2 linked regions of the Cricetulus griseus genome follow. The protein of the gene in region 1 interacts with the protein of each later gene in a biochemical or structural test. Links are inferred from orthologs where the notes say so. Each region holds a gene or a part of one and is shown on either strand. Other genes may lie near its edges. The genes, in order: Plin3 and M6pr.

What was found.
Region 2: the proteins of Plin3 (region 1) and M6pr form a complex in vitro, tested with the Homo sapiens proteins (2 studies listed by BioGRID). The link is inferred for Cricetulus griseus from reciprocal best matches to the Homo sapiens genes PLIN3 and M6PR.

Annotation. Positions count from the first base shown.
Region 1 is NC_048598.1:97,261,826-97,272,939, forward strand, and holds the start of Plin3 (perilipin-3), read left to right. Parts: upstream 1-5,379; 5' UTR 5,380-5,471; intron 5,472-8,250; 5' UTR 8,251-8,267; coding exon 8,268-8,333; intron 8,334-9,609; coding exon 9,610-9,808; intron 9,809-9,959; coding exon 9,960-10,042; intron 10,043-11,114. Other genes in the region: Arrdc5 (arrestin domain-containing protein 5), read left to right, coding at 1,304-1,813. UniProt on the Homo sapiens protein: Structural component of lipid droplets, which is required for the formation and maintenance of lipid storage droplets. Required for the transport of mannose 6-phosphate receptors (MPR) from endosomes to the trans-Golgi network.
Region 2 is NC_048601.1:22,964,122-22,975,516, reverse strand, and holds the start of M6pr (cation-dependent mannose-6-phosphate receptor), read left to right. Parts: upstream 1-4,952; 5' UTR 4,953-5,130; intron 5,131-7,920; 5' UTR 7,921-7,921; coding exon 7,922-8,100; intron 8,101-8,761; coding exon 8,762-8,928; intron 8,929-10,824; coding exon 10,825-10,934; intron 10,935-11,203; coding exon 11,204-11,334; intron 11,335-11,395. UniProt on the Homo sapiens protein: Transport of phosphorylated lysosomal enzymes from the Golgi complex and the cell surface to lysosomes.

The sequences.
Region 1 (11,114 bases):
TTTTCAACACATAGGAAGGGCTCCAAGGGGCTCTCTCAGCCTTGGAGTACCAGGCAGAGAGCAATAGCTGTTGTTGAGAACCCTGGAAAGATACAGGCATCAGAGGTTTGACAGTGGGAGATGATGTCGGAAGGTCAAAGGTTGGCTATACCCTTGACCCTAAGAGGACAGCTTGTGAAACTGACTGTACTTTTTCTTTCTTTTTTACATTTATTTACGATGCTGGAGGGGCTCCCCAGCAAGTGTATGTGCATCAGAGGACAACTTGTCGGAGTCAGTTCTTTTCTTCCACCACGTGGGCTCCTGGAATTGAACTCAGGTCTTCCAGCTTGGTGGCAGACACCTTTGCCCATTGATCCATCTCTGAGCTGCCACCCTACCCCATAGGTTGTGTCGTTCAAATCACAGGTCATGACCTCTGAGAAAGTCTCTCTCGTGAACTGGGTGTAGCAGTGTACTCCTGTTATCCGGCACTTGAAAGATTTAGACAGGAGGATGGCAGTGTGTAAGAGGGGCAACCTCAGCTACCCAGTGAGGCCCTGTCTCAATGGTGGTGACAACCATGATTGTAATAGTGATAATAGGCCAGGCAATGGTCGTATACACCTTTAATCCCAGGCAATGGTCATATACACCTTTAATCCCAGCACTTGGGAGGTAGAGACAGGAGGATCTCTGTGAGTTTGAGGTCAGCCTGGTGTATAGAGCAAGTTCCAAGACAGGCTCCATAGCTACACAGAGACCCTGTATCGAAAAAAACTAGTAATAATAGAAATAAAGCAACATAGTAAATACAGACAAGAAATCATTGTACAAATGCATGGAATATGGCACTAAAGCTGGTATCAACTCAAAAACAATTATACTTTCAAGGGAGCTGAGACATCTGGCTTTCAAGCTGGATGAAATCAATGGAAAAAGCCTCTTAAACACTCCTAGAAGTGCCAGGTGTTGGTGACACATGCCTTTAATCCCAGCACTTGGGAGGCAGAGGCAGACGGATCTCTGTCAGTTCTAGGCCAGCCTGGTCTACAGAGTGAGTTCCAGGACAACCCCCAATGCCACAGAGAAACCCAGTCTCAAAAAACAAAAACAAAAAGGCTCATTCTGTTGTCCAGGCTGTCCCTTCTGTGGCCCAGGCTGGCCTTGAATAAATCCATCTTCCAATCTGAGCCTCCTGGTACTCCAAGGTCCCTTGCTGGAGACACAAGTCTGAGAGACACAAGTCTGGGTCCCAAGTCCCCCACAGCCTGCAGGAGCTCCAGCTATAAGTCCTCAGCAGGTCTATCCTCTTCCCTTATAGAACCCCCTGTTGGTGGAAGTTGAGAAGAAAGTATCCTACAACTGTTGTAGGCAGGGCTGGGTGACCCTGCAGGTGCAGATGGGCAAGAACATCTTCGTGCCAGGCGAGAAGGTGACATTCACGTCGGAGATCCGCAACAACACGGGCAAGTACATCAAGACCGTGGTGTTCGCCCTCTATGCCCATGTGCAGTATGAGGGCTTCACACCCAATGCCGAGCGGCGTCGGCGGGCAGACAGCAGTGAGCTGCTTCGGCAGATGGCCAATGCTCGCATCCCGGCCTTCAACAGCACCAAGGTGGTCAGTGCTTTCACCCTGCCGCTGGTGTTGTCCGTGAGTAGTGGCTCCCAGGAGAACGAGATTATGCAGACCAGCTATGAGCTTGTAGTCACTATCCACCTCCCCTGGTCTTTGACAACTGTCAAAGCCCGTCTACCTATCGTCATCACCAGCACCAGGGAAGACAAGGCCAGCTGCCCCCAGGTGGACGAGTCACTAAACGAGGATTAACTGGTTTGAATGCCCCGACTTTAAATATTAAAAGCGTATTGTAACTCTATGTGAGTTGCTTGTCTGGTGGGCCCAGGACTAGCTGGGCATGTACAATGCCCTGGGCTCTATCCTTGGATACCACATAATCCCGGTGTGATGGCACACACCTGTCATCCCAGTACTCAGATGGGATGGAGGAACAGGAGTTCAAGGCCAGCCTCAGCATTCTTAGCAAGTCCAGGCTAGCCTGGGCTATGTGAGATCCAGTCTGAATGGAACAAAGATGTCTCTAAAGTCTTGGCAGAAAAGCCACTGTGGGCCAAGTTCCCATGGGTTAAGTATCTACCTCTAAACAGAGATCTCCAAGGCCTTAGGCATGGTGATGCACGCCTATCATCCCAGAACTGGGGAGGCTGGGAGATTTAAGTCCAGCCAGCCTGGACTATGTGAGACCTTGTGTCAGTGTTCATGCCATAGCTGCCATGACAACCCAGCTAAGGCTTTCTGGAACATTCTATCCAGCTCTGCAACTTTCACAGGGAGACTCCTTCCCCCTCCGCCCTGAGACTCAGTGACCCACACCACATTTCCTGTGTGGTGACTGATGGCACCCACCATGCCAGGTGGGCCAATGGGAGATGGCAGCTGGGGCCACCCTGCTTCCTGTCCCCCATGGAAGGGCCCCTCATTCTTCCTGGCTTCCAACCCCAAAATAACCCCCCTCCCAGGAACCTAAGCTACTCACACAGCTGCAAGCTCAGGAGGAGCACTGGCTGCAGCTGCCACCCAGGGACTGTCCATACTGCAAGCCCCAACCAACAGTGCTATGATCAGTCTCCCCACCTTCTAGGGCTGGTGGGAGAAGCACTGTTCTTGTCAATTAGAAGCTCTTGACTTCTAAGGGTCCTATGGACCAGAATGCCCCACTCCCAAGTCCAAGGTGACACCTCCATGTTCGCTTATTCAGTTTCAAGGTGGTCACCCGGACAGCAGTCCCCAGTCTCCACCCAGGAACAGAGACAGCAAGAACAGTTTGTCCCCACTGGCATGATAACATGACCAGGATGTCCTGTTTGCTGGCAGTGCTCTGAGTGTCCAGGCAAGCCAGGTCACCTGGGCCAGGCTGCCCTCTCTGGGGACTGGGAGGACTGTGGTCCCCGAAGGATTGGATTACAGGCCCCATAGGGAACAGCCCTTGGGCCAGCCAAGGTATTTACAAAGTGAAGTCTGCCCACTGGCCTGCTTGCTTTTAAGTCACCTCAGGAGCCACCAGGCACCCTGCAGGGTCTGTCTCAGAGCCCAGAGAAACAAGAAACCAAGGAGACTTAGTGGCTACCTCTCAAAGGAGCTGGAGCTGCCAGCATGTGGTGGCCAGAGAAAGGAGACCAGTAGGCCCAAGGGGCCTGGAAGAAGCTAGACCAGCCTGGTGGGCCATGGGTCTCAGAGCTATGCCCCTCCCCCAAGCCGGCCACCACCACTGCCTCTCACAGGAGACAGTGAGCAGCTGGTGCCATGAGGCCAAGGAGGTCGGGGACAGCCAGGGCCTGTGTGTTAAATGTCCCTCAGTTTCCTGTGGTGAGAAGGAAAAAACACTGGCCACATGAGTTGGAGAAGTGGACAGCATCTGGCCATTAGGTTGCTGAATGAAAAGCAAGGACTTGAGGCTGTTAATGTGTCCTTCAATGAGTGGGGACAGGTTGACATCAGGACTCAGCCACTGTAGAGGGAGAGCTCTCTTTTATCTAGGATCTTCGTTTTTCCTGCCTCAAATCTCATGCATCCCAGGCTGGCCTCAAACTCATTTAGCACAGGCTGCCCTTGAACTGACCCTCCTCATCCCCCCCTACCCCTAGCTCCAGGGTGCTGGGGTGACAGGCATGCACCACACCTGGTGGATGTGTTGCTGGGGAAGGAACCCAAGTTTGGTGTGTACTGATTAAGCAGTCTGTCCCAGCCCCTAATTTCTTCTAAAATTAAAAGTTGCCAGAGTGGTTGCATATGCCTCTCATTCCAACACTGGGAGACTGAGGCAGGGGGATGGCCTCAGTGAGACAAAGTAAAAGTTCCTTGGAGGCCAGCAAGATGGATCAGTGAGGAAGGGAGCTTGCTGCCAGTTCTGAAGATCTGAGTTCAATCCCCAGGCACCATGTGGTAGAGAGACATGACGCCTGAGTGCTCTTCTTGTCTGACCTCAATTTTTAAATATTTCTTGAATTAACTCTAGCAATTATTGTTTTATTTGTTTTTGAGACAGATTCACTATGTAGCTCTGACTGTTCCCCTAAAGTCTTTTTTTTTGGGGGGGGAGGGGTTCAAACAGGTTTATGTGTAGCTTTTGGATCCTGTCCTGGAACTGGCTCTGTAGACCAGGCTGGCCTCGAAATCACAGAGATCCGCCTACCTCTGCCTCCTGAGTGCTGCGATTATAGGTGTGTGCCACCACCGCTCAACCCTCCTAAGTCTTAATGCTATCCTGCCAGCCTGTCATCGCACTGGACTGAGTGCTACCAAGCCAAGAGGGTCCAGACTATGTCCCCAGGGCTACCCTGCAGAACCTTGGTATACAGTAGGTGTTGAATGCCTATATACACAGCCAATGAACCACAGGCCAGGCCCAGAGTTAATGGTACATGCCTGCTAAGTCACAGAGGAAAGGGACACCCTCGCTGGCACAGGGGGAAGTGCATCATCGGGGTGGAGGCCACAGAGGGAAGGGCGCCATGCCATGAAGGCACAGAGCGAAGGGGCGCTGTGTGGGTCAGGGCGTCACCAGCGGCAGCGTGCCCCATCCGTCTTCCGCCCCTGTGAAGGCATCACTGTTCAGTGGAAACAGGAAGAAGAGGAATTCAGTCATCAAGGCAACCCAGAAAAAGGAGGTCCGGGGAAGAAGTCAGGAAAGATTGGAGGTACCTCAGTAAAGGTGGGTCCTCCCCAGGTTGGGCTCACGTTGGCGCATGAGCAGTTGCAAGCGCCTATGCACATTTCCCCCCCACTGGAGACCTGAGGGATTGGGGAGCAGCACATAGGGTCACCCTGAGGCCGTCTGAGGTTAACCCCTTGGCTTACAGACAACGGGAGAAAGATTTCAGGAAGGCGGGCAGCCTCAGGGACTGCTTGATACAGGAGTCCAGGAACCACGGTGGCCAGCCATCTCCTGGGCCTCAGCGCCCACCTCGCCCACCAGAAGGCCTCGGCACGGTGAGCGCCTCAGGCTGGCTGAGAGAGCAAGCTTTCATTTAGGGCCCTATCGAGGTTGTGTATACTCCTGGCTATTGATTCCCAGAGTTCGGATGGAGACTATCACTTGGCGTATCTGAAGATGTCGCAGCTATCCCTGGATCCACAACCTTCTTTGAAACATGGAAACATGAAGGATGCCAGGATCCCCTAAACTCTCAGGAAAGGACGTTAGACAGGCTTTCCTTCCCCCTTCCATAAAAGACCAGAACTTTAGGTCTTTTGAGGACTCAACTAACAGGCAACCTGGTCTGGGGCTCCTGAGAAAGGTGGGTAAGTGGGCGGGACTAAGTCACAGGGCCCTCTTATTGGTCCTCTGTCCCGTCACTCTCAAGCTCCTCCCCCACGGGATCCACAGGGCCGCCCCGCCCCTCCAGGGCAGATCCGAACTGACTTTGGGAGGGCTCGGTTTCCCTGCCTCGACAACCTGAGGACTCTGGTGAGAGTTGGGGGGCCCAGGGTCGATCTTGGGGCTCCCCTGGGGAGGAGGGAGACACGAGGCTTTCCTGGGAGGGTCAGAGGCTCCCAAATCTCTGCACGCTAGGAAATTCCACTTTTATAGGAGAGTAACTTTTGCCGGAGGCTGCAACTGTTGCAGCACTTGCAACTCTTGCTTGGCCTGGCCACCCTGGGACTTTGGAGGTGGGGAATGAGTTCCTGAGTGTCAAGGAAGGTGGCTTCTACCGTCCTGGGTCTCCAGAGTTAAGAGTTGTGCTCAAACGCACGTCCCACGCTTCCTGGCCTGCAACTCCACCTTCCTTTCCCGGTACCGAGTCTCCTGTCCTTCAGAGTAATCAATCAATCCTGCTGCTTCGGTTGTAAATAGTTTTACCAGCCCAGCACTGGTCCCGACCTAGAGCGGGTGTAGGGTGGGGAGTGTAGGGGGAGGGACCCTTGCATAAAGCCAGGCTTGTTCCACCCTGGGCCTGGTGCAGCCCTCGCTTGGAATCTCTGATTCAGTCTTTTGTTTCTGTTTTGGTAATTGGTTTTGGAAATGGGCCTGTTCTGTAAACTAGGATGGCCTGGAACTTGCCATCCCCCTGCCTCCACCAGTAATGCTGAGATGACAGCATTGTCACTAAACCAGGCAGAAAGACTTCCTTGACCACTTCAAAGTCCTGGCTACACGCAGCAGTCTTTGACCCTGGGGGCTTCTCTGGCTTTCTCAGCAGAGAAAGTAATCTTGTGGGCGGGGTGTGAGAGGGTCGGTCAGTTCCTGGCAGCTGGAGCCAGCTCTACAGAGGTCACAGACCCCCAAGAACTAAGAAAGTGCTTATCTACAGTGGCCACCCTTTGCTTGGGGTGGGGGGCTCCAGGAGTGTCTGACTGACTTCAAAGGGGTCAATTAGGCTTTGCTGCCCACCAGGTAAGGCGACAGTAACCTGGCTTAAGTGGTGATCACAAGACTTGAAGCATGACCCTCATCACCTGACTGCTCTGTTGGGAAACCTTTATCACAAACCGGAAGTTGCAGCCTTCACTATCAGCAGTTAGGCTGCGGTATGCCAGACCGGTTTATTGAGCATCTGACAGACGCCACCATCCAATCCACCAGAGAGTCTGAGCTATAGATAATGGCAAGCAAGCTTCCCAAGGAGTTGAGCCCTCTGAGCTCCTTCCAGGGGTCTCCAGAGTCAGGATCAGGGGCTAGTGAGTTGGCAGAGATCGATACCTGAGTTTGACCTCCAAAATTCATGGTGGAATGAGAAAAACTACCCCTACAGGTTATCTTGTGACTTCCATATAGGCACACAATGGCAAGCATACACTAACATAGACACATGATAAACAATAAATAAAATGTAGAAAATGAAACAGAAAGAGGGCTGGGGGTGTCGCTCAGTGGTCAGCGCTTACCTAACATGTGATAAGACCCCAGGGAACCACCTCAAACATTGTGTATACACACACACTCCAAAACAGAATCTGTGTTCTGGAGTTACTGGGTTCAGACCTGTCACATCAAAATTTTCTGGGGCACCAGGGTCTGAATTAGGGGCAACCTTTAGACTCAGTGTGGATATGAGTCAATGGTGCTGGTGGAGACAGCATGGCCTATCCTGATTCTGCTTTCAATGAGCTGAGACTCGAGTTTCCCTCTGATGTGGTCTCATTGGTTCAAAACTATTTTTTGAGACAAGGTCTTATGTAGCCCAGACTGTCCTAGAATTAATTCATGATATAGTTGAGGATGACCTTGAAGTCCTGACCTTCCTCCTAAGTGCTGGGGTGACAGGTGTGTGCCACCACTCCTGGTTTGTGTGGTTTTGGTAGCATCACTGGGGTATGCCAGCTCTGCCCACTAACCCCAGCCCCTGGTTTTTGAATAGGATTACTTACCTGGCCTAAAATTCAGGGACCCGGCCCGGTGTTGGTGGTGCACACCTTTAATCCCAACACTCGGGAGGCAGAGGCAGGCAGATCTCTGAGTTTGAAGCCAGCCTGGTCTCCAGAGCAAGTGGAGAAGCTACACAGAGAAACCCTGTCTTGAAAAACAAATAATAATAATAATAAAAATCAGGGACCCACCTTCTACCCCCATCCTCTATCTGAAACCTGTCCTTAGTCTCCCCATTTTCCCAGATCTTCTAACATCTATGTGAAGATAAAATCAGGCCGGAGAGCTGACTCAGTGGTTAGGGCGATCACTGCTCCTTCAGGGGATCCAGGTTCGGTTACCAGCATGCACTCAGGTGCCTCATACCACCTAACTCCAGTCCCAGGGGACCTGACACCCTCTCCTGCACTCTGGCTACTGCATGCACATAAAACCAAAATATAAATATAAGATTTATTTATTTATTTAGAGACAGGGGGTTTAACTCTGCAGACCAGGTTGGCCTGGGACTCACAGAAATCTGCCTGCCAGTGCTCCCGAGTGCTGGAATTAAAAAGACCTGGGAACCCTGTCACAACCATCAGGAGTTAGGAGTTCTAAAGTTAGAGGTTGGGGGTGTGGTGAGGGTGGAGCACCCCTCCTCCCCCTGTGCAGGGCTGGGGGAGTGGTCAAGGGTGCAGCTTTGCTGAGTGCCTGGGGCAGTGGCTTGGCTCTCCAGCACCAAAAGGGTCAGGGGTTGGGAAGGAGCTGTGGTGAGCTAGGCTCCACTTTGGACCTTCTGAATCAGTGACAGGGCTCTGAGAGAGCTGAAGGTTCATAGATCAACCCTGCTTCCTGTGTTCATGGAGCAGGCTGTCATTTGACTCTCTTTTGCTTGAAGCACCTGCTGCTGAAACCATGTCTAGCAATGGGACAGATGCTCCTGCTGAAGCCCAGGCTGCTGTGGAAGAACCTGTCCCACAGGTGAGGGGCCTGAGTTGCAGGGAGCCCTGCAACTTCTGAGAGTTCTCTGTGGCAGACTGCTGGGGTCTGGGAGGGGCAGCCAGGAGAGAAGTCTGGAGGTCTGCCTCCTTCCTTCCTTCATTTTCTTTTTTTTTTTCTTTTAGCTTGAGACAGGGTCTCACTATGTAGCCCAGGCTATCATGGAACTTCCAGAGATTGCCCCTACCTCTGCCTTCTGAATGCTGGGGATTAGACACCTATGCCTAACCCTTCATCCTTTGTCTCCTTTCAATACAGGGTCTCATGTAGCACAGGCTAGCCTCAAACTCACTATATGGCCAAGGATGATTTTGAATTCCTTTTACATGCTTCTCTGCCTCCCATCTCTCTGTCTCTCCCCAACTCTCTTTCCCCATCTCTCTGTGTCTCTGAGACTGTCGTTTAACCCAGGATGACCTCCAATTCACAATGTAGCCCAGGATACCACAGTCATAATAGAACCCTTGAGGTTCCGGTCTATGCTGAATGACATCATGTGCCATGGCCCCCAAGTTTCTAGGGTTGGGGATGGAACATAGGGCTCCAGCAGCACAATGTGATCCACAAGGAGGGATGCCAACAAGGCAGTCCGATAAGATAAGTCTTATAAAATATATAGATTTATGATAATTAAGACTGAGCTAACAGATGAGAATCCTAGTCATTGGCCAAGCAGCATTGTACCTAATACAAGTTTCTGTGTATTCATTTGGGCCTAACTCGGGCGGGCGGCTGGCGTAAAGCTCACACGTGGCGCTTGCGCTCAGGACTTTTGGCGGAAAGATTTATTGTAACATAGGGCCTGTTATGTGGCACACCAGTGCACTAACAAAAATGGGGTTCCGCCGGGCGTTGGTGGCGCATGCATTTAATCCCAACACTGGGGAGGCAGAGGCAGGCAGATCTCTGTGAGTTCGAGACCAGCCTGGTCTCTAGAGCGAGTTCCAGGAGAGACTCCAAAGCTACACAGAGAAACTCTGTCTTGAAAAATCAAAAAAAAAAAAAAAAAAAAGAAAGAAAGAAAGAAAGAAAACAAAAGAAATGGGGTTCCTTTGTCATGGCACTGCCTGAGTCTGTCCTGGGTGGCCAGTCTGATGCTCAAACAAGTAAGCCACCAGAAGCACGTGATGGAACCTTCAGGTTCCTGCCTTGTGCAGTTGTTTTTACTAGGCATGATGGAGCCCTGCTGGCCTGCTCCCCCAAAATGAGAGCAGGCCTGTGGGCGTCCCGAGCTCCTAGCCCAGTCTCCTGCCCTCAGCCCAGCGTGGTGGACCGCATGGCCAGCCTGCCTCTCATCAGCTCCACGTGTGAGATGGTGAGCGCAGCATACACCTCCACCAAGGACCGATACCCCCATGTGAGGACCGTGTGTGATGTGGCTGAGAAAGGCGTCAAGACCCTCACTGCGGCTGCGGTCAGTGGGGCACAGCCCATCTTGTCCAAGCTGGAGCCCCAGAGTGAGTTGAGGACCCCAGGGTGTGGAGAATGCTTCTCATGGCCATTTTTGGAGGGGGGTGACTCCTCAGTTTCTCTGAAACTGGCTCTAGGTGGCTCTCCCCACCTCTGAAGGGCACTTACAGTGGGTGTGTTTTCTCTTGTGCCCTGCAGTTGCTTCGGCCAGCGAGTACGCGCACCGAGGGCTGGACAGATTGCAGGAGAGCCTGCCCATCCTCCAACAGCCGACTGAGAAGGTCAGTGCTAGGTCAATTGACTCTGTCTTGAGGCCCTGCCTGGACCCTCCAAGTCCATGCTTTATATTCAACACGCAGATGACAGTCCTTACTGTTCCCACCCACATTGGGCAGAAAGGTCTTGAAGTTTGGCCACATCCAGTCAGAATACCATCTGGATCCCACTGAACCCAGAGCAAAGGGCACTCAGTATCATCTGTCCTCTCAAGCACCATGCACCATTTGATGGGGGTACACACCTTTAGAAACAGTTGTAAGCCTTTAGGAAGGAACCTAAACCCAAGAAGGCGGGGGACAAGGCTACAGCAGATGCAGCCATTAGAGCCTGCCCCAGGACCTTTGATGAACTGGTTTTTTGGTTTGGTTTTTGGTTTTTCTTTTTTTTAAGATTTTGTTTATTTTTATTATGTATACAACATTCTGCTTCCATGTATATCTGCACACCAGAAGAGGGCACCAGATCTCATAACGGATGGTTGTGAGCCACCATGTGGTTGCTGGGAATTGAACTCAGGACCTCTGGAAGAGCAGCAGTGCTCTTAACCTCTGAGCCATCTCTCCAGCCCATTTAAACTTTTTTTTTTTTTTTTTTTTTTGAGGCAGGTTTCTCTGTGGCTTTGGAGACTGTCTTGGAACTAGCTCTTGTTTCTGGAACTCACAGAGATCTGCCTGCCTCTGTCCTGAGTGCTGGGATTAAAGTGTGCCACCAACACCGCCTTTTTTTTTTTTTTTTTTTTTTTTTTAAGATTTTTGATTTTTGGTTTTTCAAGACAGGGTTTCTCTGTGACTTTTTGGAGGCTGTCCTAGAACTAGCTCTTGTAGCTCAGACTGGTCTCGAAATCACGGAGATCCACCTGCCTCTGCTTCCCAGGATTAAAGGTGTGCGCCACCAACGCTCGCCTGATGAGCTGTTCTTAGCTGAAACAGAAACTCAGCTCTCTGATCCCCAGAGCATCCATTAACCAAATCCAAATGAGTGAGATTTTTTGTGTGTTGTTTTTTGGTTTTTGTTTTTGTTTGTTCTTTCAAGACAGGGTTTCTCTGTGTAGCTTTGGAGCCTGTCCTGTCCCTC
Region 2 (11,395 bases), on another chromosome or scaffold:
TGACAGTACCAGCGCTAATGCGCAGGCTGGCTCATCGCGGCCACTTCCTTTCTTTCTGGGAGGCTCTCTGTAATTACAAAGCATCCCCACATCTCTGTTTCCCACTCCTTTCTCCTGACCCAGCAGTGCTAAGCCCCGCCCTCTCCTCTTTGACAGCACCCCGCTCCCTGCCGGCAGCCTATCTTCCTCTCCAGGACCTCACTCTATCTGCCACTGCTTCTCTCAATGGGGAAATTCACCACACGCCTCCACTCTAAGTTCCCCCTCCTGTCCAGAAGGAAGAAAAACAAATAGCTACCTTCTCGGTTTCTCTAGAATAATGAGTTCCTCCTCATTCCCCTCACAGCTGAGTCCAATGAAATCCCCCTCCAGGTCAGGCTCCCTTGATCTAACCAACCGCAACTCTGTTTCACCACCTCACCCCGTGAGTCAGGTTATGACCCCTGCCTCCTAAGACTCGTGCCTGAATTGCATTTTAAAAGTGTTCCATTTAAAATATGTCCAATTTGCAAAGTCCCAACTTACTTTATTTACAAAATGCATTCAGTGACATCGACCTTCCTCAGCAATTGCTTTCTTCCTCATTCATGCTGTTTCTCCTCCTCCTCCTCTCCTTTCTAGAGTTCCTTTTCTCTCCTCTTCCAACCCAGGAGCTACAGGCCCCACACTCACACCTTAACACACACACACACACACCACACACCTCTCACACACACACAAAGACACCCCACACCTACAAACACACCACACATACACAGACACCCCACACCTACACACACAGACACCACACACCTACACACACACACAGACACCACACACCTACACACACACCCCACACACCTCCCCCCAACAGACACCCCACACCTACACACACACCACACACACACAGACACCCCACACCTACACACACACAGACACCCCACACCTCCCCCCTCACACACCTCCCCCACACACACATCCCTAAAGGGAAGCAGCTCTCAGCTACAAGCTATAAACAAACAAAAAAGGGGTTAAAACCACCCAACTGCCTAAACTCCTCTACACTCTTCCTTTCAAATGTCCTGTAGAGGGTTCCAAAACCTTCACTCAGTGCTCTCCCAGGGTCCTATCATTGGGTTTTTTGGTTTGTTTACTGGCTGTGGCTGAGTTTGTAAGGGTCTTATGTGACCTGTCGATGTCATCTTATGTCTCAAAAGCAATCTAAATAATAAGGCCACTGCTAAGGTTATGGCTTATTAGACACCTGATTGCGTGCCACATATTTATTGGTATGTATGGGTTTGTATGTGTATGTAAACTGTTGTGGCATTCAGATCCACTGGAAGAAACCGGTATCAGCTCAGGACCCCCAAGAGCGAGTTCTCAGCACCAAGAAGATTTATTTGCCCCAGAGGGACAGAGGGCAGGGATAAGGGACAAAGACAGGAGATAGAGGATGGGGAGGAAGGGGAAGGAACAAAGGAAAGGGGACAGAGGTGTTTGTCCCAGAGAGGACTGCCTCTGGATAGAGAGGAGACAGACGTGTCACATAGGCAAATGACAGCTTATAAAGGTGAAAGGGGAAACTCCTTGTTATGAGTTTAGTTTATGAATGAGGAGTTAAATTTTGATTGGACAGGTTAAATTAGGGCAGCCAAAGAGGGGTTTTGATTGCTAGACTTCAATACTTTGATAGCTGGACCTTGGAAGACAACTGAACGAGGAGGAAGTAGTCAAATAAGCGAATAGACCTTGGTGAGTAGCTTTAGGAATGGAATCTTAGGGTTTTTAGCAAGGAAGAGGAATCAGGGAAGGGCAAGGCCTGCCAGAGCCGTGTTTGCCATGCATGGGCTTGCTAGAGCCCTTCACTTAGACTCAGTTCAAATTTAGATTAAATGAATTTATGCTTACTGCTAGCAGAAAGACAGAAGCCTGAGCGCCAAACAGCATGCTGTGCCCAAATGGGGGCTAAGGCGAGGTCTGAAGGCAGACATCAGAAACATAAGCATCACAACTGTCCATGGACCCCACAGCTGGGCAGGAGCATTGCTTGGCTTGCTTCTCCCGATTGTTTCTGACTTTCCCAATATATAGTAATAAAAAGACCATTTCATCCCTTTCCCACATCAAGGTTTACAGAAGCAAAGGCGTCTGTTAATGCCTCACCTGCAAGCTGTGGAATTCTATTCAGCTGTAAAGAAAAGGGAAAGCAGAATGGTTGACGGCAAATGGATGGACCTAGAAGACATTGCATTGAGTTTGGTGACCCAGATTCAGAAAGACAAATGCTGCATTTCTCTTTTATCTGTGGTTCCTAGCTCCAAATCTTCAGATGTGAGGATATACATGGAGTAACAGCAGAAACCAGGAAACTATAAAGCGATTTGTGATGGGGGAGGGGACTCTTGAGGCGGGAACAGCTGGATACAGGTGATATGAAGTGGGAAATGGGAAAATGGGGAGAGAGATTTCAGTTGAGTGGAGGGAAGGAAGTCAATACAGAAGGAGAAGGAAGGGGAGAAAATAATACCAATGTTTTTTATTATGTATACAACATTCTCTTCCATGTATATCTGCACACCAGAAGACGGCACCAGATCTTATAGTGGATGGCTGTGAGCCACCATGTGGTTGCTGGGAATTGAACTCAGGACCTCTGGAAGAGCAGTCAGTGCTCTTAACCTCTGAGCCATCTCTCCAACCCCAATACCAATGTTTTTTGATAAACCCTTATGGAAACATTTAATATTTGCCTAAAATTATACAACACACATAAGGCCATTTGGGCTGACAATGCTCCCTACAAGAACTATAGACTAACAAAACCCCCAGTACAAACCATGAGAAGTCTCTCAAATGGTTAGTCAGGATAGTCCAATGACTCCCAAAACAACATAGACTATGTCTGTCACCCTTGGCTGCCTCTCAGAGGTTGAAGGTAGGTCCCTATTGCTGAAGACACTGCACACTTAAGACATGGGACTCACACTATTCGAGTTGGATCAAATGTGAGAGTCTCCTTCCTGCAATCTAGCTTCCACGGTACCAGAAAATACTATACAAGCTGCCAAGGGAGAGAGGCATTTATAGTCCTACCCAGCTGTGACACCTATAAATGCCAGCCTTAGACATAAAAATGCAGTAAGTCTTACTCACATGTTGGTGGCAATCAACCTCAGTCTAATGGAACTTAACGCCCACTCAACAGGACGGAATTACGCCTGGTACCAGAAACCTACTCAACTTCCCACGGTTGGTGAGGTCATGGATCTTAGAAGAAGATCTACTGCCACCACTTTGCAAGGTCAGCATAATTCCTAACGGCATTTTCAATCTTATCCTTATACCCATCGGTAAATGTAGCTCTCTCTCACCCCACATCAAAAAAGCTTCTCTTTACAGCAAATGGAGACCATCATAGAAAACCGTAACAGGAACAATGAAGAGATCAACAGATGGTGAGGGCTCCAGCTCCAATGGCTCAGGGAACATCACAGCTCCTGAATCCATGGCTCAGCCAACATGAGGAAGAGAGAGACTGGAAAGAATTTAAGAGCTGGGATACCAGGAAGTCTGATGTGAAACAATGTATCATAGAAATGGCTACACAAATAAGATCTGAACAATGGCAAAATCAATAGATAGGCTAGCAGAGAAGAGAAATCTCAAGTGGCTCCACCCCTAAACAAAGAACTACAGGCAATTAATGACTTCTGGGAGAGGGAGAATTAACCTCTCCCAGGGACGAGCCTCCTAAGTGGTTATCCAACACAAAGTGATCATTCCTGAAACCACATACACACAAACAGCAAAAATAGACTCAGCAGTTGTAATATATTTATGCATACATATAACGATAATAAATTTTTAAAAGAGGCTATCAAATGGAGGGGGCACGGAAAGAGCTAGGTGGAGGAGTCTTTGAGGGAACTGGAGGAAGGAAAAGGAAGTAATTATATTTTAATTAAAATTTTTAAGTTCACTTTTTAAAATAGTATGGGCACTACAGAGCTAGCAGTTTCAAACATAATATTGCCTCTAACATGGATCCCTATTTAAGCAGAATGAGAATGATATACACAAAAGCATGTAAGAGTCAGAAGGGAATGACTAGCTAAAGCCAAAAGAACCTTCAGAGGAAGAAATTAGTAACCTGGAGAGTAAACCCAGGAAGCCATAACAATTAAGTATCAAACCCAGTCCTTAGAACAAGTAGGAATTCAGAGAGTGGCTAATAAACCCCCGGAATCTGCAAAAGACCTTACCAAAGGCGCAAAGACCCCTCCTCCCCCCCCCCGAAACAGAATGCAGACTAGAGGAGCTGCACACATAGGGCAGCTTTGATGAACAGAGTATGCTTATCTAGCAAGATGCCACAAGAGGACAAGTCATTGCAGTAATAATAGCACGTCCCCAGAGAGTTAGAAAATTCTGACTGAAGGTGTTAAGAAAACGAGGACAAGCAGGATCCTAACGTTCCACTGTCCAGGTCGTTCAGTCAACTATAGACCGGGAGAGATTCCAGCCGACGGATGGCTGAGCAGCGCCGCGCAGAGGCCACTATGGTAGCAGCAGAGCCCTAGGAACTACAACTCCCAGAGCGCCTCGGGAGCAGAAACTACAACTCCCAGCGAGTCCAGGGAGCAACACTGTCCGTAGCTTCCGCCTATCGCCCCTCTCTGACTGTCTTCCACCGGACCTAGCGGGACAGCTGGCACGTGACCCCCGCGTGAGTGGGGCGCGCCAGCCAAGAGTCCCTGGAGGCGGGGCTCGAGCCTCATTGGTAGGAAGGCGGCCCCCCAAAAGAAGAAATTGATCTTGACAATCTGGGAGCGACTGGAGTTGACGGGACGGGAGCAGAGCGAGCGAGGCTGCTGACCAATCAGCGTTCGGGGGAAGGAAAGGGGCGCGATGGCTCTGCGGTCACATGCCGCGGGGTCTGGTGGGAGGAGCAGTTGCTCAGCTGCCTCTCGCCGCTTCCTGTTTCCGGTTTCTGGAGCAGGGAGCCGAGCGGCGCTTTGGGGAGCGCTGGCCTCAGACAGGAACGGAGGACCGGGGTCTGCGACTCGCCGCTCTCCGGCCGCGTCTCCCAACCCCAGGGCCACATTCTTGGGGGCTTCTTCGCTTCAGCTGCTGTGTTTTCCGTGACACGTGAGTGTGGGGGGCGTGGAGGTGGAGGAGCAGGTGGGCCGGGGGTCCTTGCTCGCCCCTGCGCCGGAGGAGATGCAGTCCTCGCGTCGCGCGTGGCGGTGGTTCTAGCCCCAGACCCTGCTAGCGAGCCGTAGAGCCGAGTGGGGGCGAAAGGCGTGAGCACCGGGAGCGTCAGGCTACCAGGAGTGAGGGGGAGGACTTCATGACCAGAAAGGGGGTTGCGATGTTCTGAAGGTGCGGGAAATTAAGTGCCAAGTGGGGAGACCAGTGAAGTGGTGTTACTGGGTGCTTGTTGGAAGAATTTTGCCCTGTATCGTGGAAGTAAAGGGGCGTCGTGGCATCATCATTTTGGGTAAGGCATGGCTCTGAGCAAATGGAAAGCGAGAATTTCCAGGATCCTGGAAGAAGTTCGAGGAACTTGTGTGTGTGTTAGCTTGGTGTGGAAAAGAGTAACAGAGGGATTTATCTGTGTTTCTTCGTGTAGGAGTTTGAAGCACAGAACTACTTCCCAGAGGCTCTTTCAGCATTGGGCCTTTCCTGGCAGTTCAGACTGATCTTAGAAGGGTTGGCTGCTATGAACCAGGAGGAAGAAACTAAAGCCTTCCATTAGAAAAAAAAATGGAAAATGGCCACGAGTGGGAAAGTGCGAGCGAACATAAATGATGTCAGCAGTTTCCCAATCTCTAACTTAGTCGTTGGCTGTCCTTAAAGGAGAATGTCCCAGCATCGCCAACAGATCTGTGTCTCTTTAGAGTAAGGAAATTGAAGATTTTCAAGTTCCTAAGATCCTCTGTCACACACTTTGAGGATCTATTTGTGCCATATTAAAAAGGGACTGCCCAGCTTGAATTTCATACTTTTCTCTCCTTGTGCCTATGTTTATCAGAAGTTTGCCAAAAAATGCCTTCATGTCATTAGTCATCCAGGTTGCTCTAGGAACTTCGCCCATTTAATATTTGTGTAACCAAGAACAAGTAACTCAGTGGGCATCTGTAAGCCTCAGTTCCTTTATCTTGCTTTCCCAACATAATGTAAGTAAAGCATTTATGATATACACCATACTGGATCAAAAAGAGCATCTCAAACTTAGAGTCAAGTCTTTCTCCTGGTTTTTCTGCTTACAGTCAAATCTTAAGCTAGACAGGATGTAAAATTATTCCTCTTTTTTGGACAAATTAGCAAATGACAAATCATTTGGTTCATCTAATGTCTGCCACAGCTTGTTTTAATTCTTCATCCTGTCTCAGTTCTGTGAAGTTTTCTGCCCTCATTTGGGAAGAGAAAGCAGTAACAGTTAACAAATGAGGAACCATCTCTGAGGCCACAGTGCACAGCATTCATTCTGTGAGAGCATCCCCCCAAAATATGCTCCTGGGGAGAAAGGGCTTCAGAGCCCAGAATGTTAACATTTTCAATTAGATCCTAAGAGAATTTAAGGGAAATGGCACAGAGTGGGTTAACAAAAGGACCTCTCAGTGATTTGACTGGTTGGGCTATGTGTTGAGCAATAGGTGAGCTTAGGGAAGGCAAGAGCTTAAGTCTGAGCTTTTTGTTACACTCTAGTTAACTCTGTGAGGACTTGCTCCTCTTTCCTGCTTTGTTTTAAAAAGAAGAAAGGCAACTCTGCTTTGGTTTCTGCTAGCATCCCAGAAAATTATGATGAAAGATGTGCATGACGGTGACGCGTAGAACTTGAGCTCCAGAGCCATTTCTTTTACTCACGCTATTAGCTGTATTGTCAGTGTTTGTTTTGTTTGTTGTTTGCTTTTTAATCTGCAATAGAGATGATTAAATTTACTACATAAGGTTGGGGGGATTGATTAATTAATGCATGTTAAGTATTTCAGGTAATGCCTGGCTGAAGGCTGTCGCTATTAATGTGTCCTATTGTTTTGTATTTGAGATGTGTTAGAGAGCCTTTGACCTCTCTTGGCCACCAGTGATTATTGTGTGGAAATGCCTTGTTTGTGTTTCTGTAGTTTGATGTGTGGGGTATTTGAAGTCAGGTAGATAAGTCCCCAAGCATTTGTTACCCTCCTTGCATATGGGAAATAGAAACTCAGATTAAATTTCAGGGAGAAAAGGAAATGCGATTAGATTACAAGGTTGGAGTGTCCATGGTCTTGTCATAAGGAAAGACTGGAAGAGTTAAATGTCTCCGAAAAAAAACAGTGAAACTTAAATGAACAATGCCCAATGGTCTGAAGGGTTACCGATAGATAGGAGTGAAACCTTCTGCCAGCATAAATCACTGTGGCCTAACTACAAGGATGATATAGGGATGTCCAACTTTTCAACATACAAATAGGACGTTATCATCTGCAAATATGTAGGGCTGCATTCACAGACACAGCTGAGGGTGTGTCTCCCATGGGCCACATAAGGCTGTTAGAGTAGCACAGACAGTGAGTGAAGGTGGCAGTACAGGACTGTAGAGTGGAGAAAGACAGCCATCTTGCTGAAAGTAGAAGGAAGCCCTTGAGATTTGTGGCTTGGAGAAGCTGGGACAGGTTTTGGAAGACATCTAAGCCCTTGTTGTGATTGGGTGGCTTTCCAGGGAAATGGTGTGTAAGTAATTGAGGTGACTTGGGGTGCTGGAGCTGCTTCACTTCATCCCACGTGCTTCCAGTGAATGTGAAGAAAGATTGCTGGATGCTCCCAGAATACTGCTATGAAGCAGATTCATGCTTTTTGTTTACATAATCAAAATATTAATTTTGCAGTCATGTGATGTATCTGTTTCCTTTCTCTCCGGAACCTGCCTTCACCTTCAACACACTCTTCCAAAAGGATGTTCCCCTTCTCTGGCTGCTGGAGGACTGAACTGTTACTATTGCTAGTCCTGGCTTTGGCTGTGAGAGAATCCTGGCAGGCAGAAGAAAAGTCTTGTGACCTGGTAGGAGACAATGATAAGGAGTCAAAGCAAGAGAAGGCTCTCCTGGAGAGGCTACGGCCACTGTTTAACAAAAGGTAGACGAGCAGAGCCTTAAAGGGTTTAAGAAGTGATCTTTATTTGGGGTTTGCTTTTACTGACTGTACTCGAGCATTAATGTGAAAGGGGTACATGCACGCTATGAAGTCTAACCTGGATTTTGGCAGTATTGGTTGTATTTGGTTGTAACACATTGCCCTCTTAGCGACAGACCAAATTCACAGCCATGTGATCATGTGTGTTTTTCTTATCTTTCACAGGAAAGTATCCGTTTCTAATGACTGGCTCTAAAATACCAGCCTGTAGAAACCAGAACATAACTTGATAGCTTCATACAGTAAGACTTTAGAAACATCAAGCAGACATACTTAAAGAGATATACATGTCTGAGTATGTCTTCATCGCTGTCAGGGAATCTTCAGATATAAAATGATCCTTAAGCATGGGACTGTCCCTTGCTGTAACGAAATAGCCAACACTTTTGCATAGCTATAATAGGTATGCTATGATGTGTAGCTGTTTGGGGTGGTATCTTTATCAACAAGTAGGATAGTCTATGGGGATATAAACAACTCATAGTTTAGCAAATTCAGCAAATTTGCATTTTGTACATTGGTTGTCATCAAAGGGAGGGGTGCAGTTTTTCCTGTTTTAGTAACTAGTGATACTGTTCTTTCTCTCTCTACTTGTCTTCTGCAGTTTTGAGAGCACTGTGGGCCAGGGCTTAGATACATACAGCTATAGATTCAGAGTATGCCGGGAAGCTGGCAACCACTCCTCTGGAGCAGGCCTGGTGCAGATCAGCAAAAACAATGGGAAGGAGACGGTGGTCGGGAGAATCAACGAGACTCACATCTTCAATGGAAGTAAGTATTTCCTGCTGACTAATCCACGGCAGTCCTCTGCAATCCTTTATGTGTTGTCCATCCCCAACTTTTTGAGTATGTCATGTTATGGAATTTGCTCCACCTGGACTGTACCTCACAGTGCCTAGTTCCACAGCTGGTCTGGAGCCATAGCTCAGGACACCTCTGTGTTTGAAGATAGTGCAAAACTTTAACAAAAAGAATATGGGATTGGGGAAACAGTTCAGAGTAGAACATTTGCCCACATGCACAAAGTTCTGCTTTGACCCTTAGAACCACAAAAAGAAAGATGGAAGGAAGGGGTAGAAGAAGAGATGATGAATGGGAATGAATATGAAAATGCCAGAATTTTACATAGCCAGGAGTCCTTCTAGACACCCAAATATTTAATGAGTTCCACACCAACCACCACCATTTCTCATCAGTTAACCAAGTTTGCCAACTGAATTCCAAAATACCTTTTTATGCAAACCAGTAAGTATTTAAGGAAAAAGAAACACACCACCTACTTGTACTAACATAGTTGTATTTTTCAAATGTCATGAAAGTGGCTTGATTTCTTCCCATAAGCAGATAATTAATCTAGTGTAGATATTCGTTATGTAAAGAACAAAATAAAATGCATGAGTGCATTCTTGACCCAAATCATCATTTTCCTAGTATGATGGTGTCTTAGTCGTTGTTCTGTGGCTGTGAAGAGACACTGTGACCAAGGCAACTGTTATAAAAAAAGAGTTCTACATCCTGAGCCATAGGGAGAGAGAGGGGGAGAGAGAGAGAGAGAGAGAGAGAGAGAGAGAGAGAGAGAGAGAGACAGAGACAGAGACAGAGACAGAGACAGAGACACTCACTCACTCACTCTGGGCCTGACATAGGCTTTTGAAACCTCAGAGCCCACCACCAGTAACGCTTGCTCTAGCAAGGCCACACCTCCTAATGCTTAAAATCCTTTCAAACATTTCCACTCCTTGGTGACTAAGCCTTCAAATTTATGAGCCTATAAGGGGATCATTCTTACTCAGACCACCACAGATGATTATGAGGTACTAGCTCACTGGTTATAAAATCTTCTCATATGCAAAGTTAAAAGCATCCTTACCTATTCACTTCACATGGTGGTTAGTCACACAAGATTTTGCAAAGAACTTGAAAAGTAGTAAATACTAAGGAAGGGAGATGTATTCCCAACTCAATAAACATCCACTTTGAATTTATCTATGTTACTTTGGACTAAGCAATCATCCAGAACCTCCTCTCCTTTTGCTGTGTTGAGAAAATGTGCATCAGTGTGAAAAGCACAGATAATAACTGTTTTTACACATTCTCTTGCCTACCTTTAATGTAAAAAATGGGGTTAATCTTTTTTGGGGTGGGAGAGCGGGCGTTGAGACAGAGTTTCTCTGTAACTTTGGAGGCTGTCCTGGAACTAGCTCTTGTAGACCAGGCTGGTCTCAAACTCACAGAGATCCGCCTGCCTTTGCCTCCCGAGTGCTGGGACTAAAGGCGTGCAACACCACCGCCCGGCTGGAATTAATCTTAAGTATTGAGTTTTTATTGTCTAAAACAGGGCAACACAGAGTTTTGTCAAGAAACAAGTTTTAAGGCCAGGTATGGTGGCTCATGCCTGTGACCCTAAAACTTGAGAGGCAGAGGCAGGAAATGACAAGTTGGAGGCCAGACTGGTCTATGTAATAGTGAATTAAGGCCAGCCAAAACTACATAGCAAAACTCTTGTTTTTTAAAAAAGAAAAGTTTTAGCTTAGCATTTAGATGTACAGATCATACTAATTAGCATTGATTAAAAACCATCTTGGTAGCTAACTCCACACTTCCATACCCATTGTTGCCTCTGTTTTCCCTGTGCTCCATAGTGTCATTGTTCTTGTCCTTCCTCAGGTAATTGGATCATGCTGATATATAAAGGGGGTGATGAATATGACAACCACTGTGGCAGAGAACAGCGTCGAGCAGTGGTGATGATCTCCTGCAACCGACGCACATTAGCGGTGAGGTACCCTGGGGCGTAGCAGAGTGAAAGATCTGGGGGGGGGGGAGGTTAACAGAAGACAAATTTATGTGGAGTGGTCGTGAGAAAACTAATTGAAATTTCCAGTGTGCCAGTTCACACTGTCCATGGAGAATGGGCCACATGGGCTACTTAACCAGGAGCAGTAAATGTTTGGGGTTTATTTATTGAGGGGTGGTCTTGTTCTTTGTATACAAGTTGAAAGAAAACATCTTATACATAATTACTGTTTGGTCCTCTTATCATCAGGGCAATTTTAACCCAGTGTCTGAGGAACGGAACAAAGTCCAAGATTGTCTGTACCTCTTCGAGATGGACAGCAGCGTAGCCTGTTCACCAGAGGTTTCCCACCTCAGTGTGGGCTCTATCTTACTGGTCATGTGAGTACTTTCTGCCTCTTCAGTACATGTGTTTTACAGACACGAAAAGTAACAGACCAGA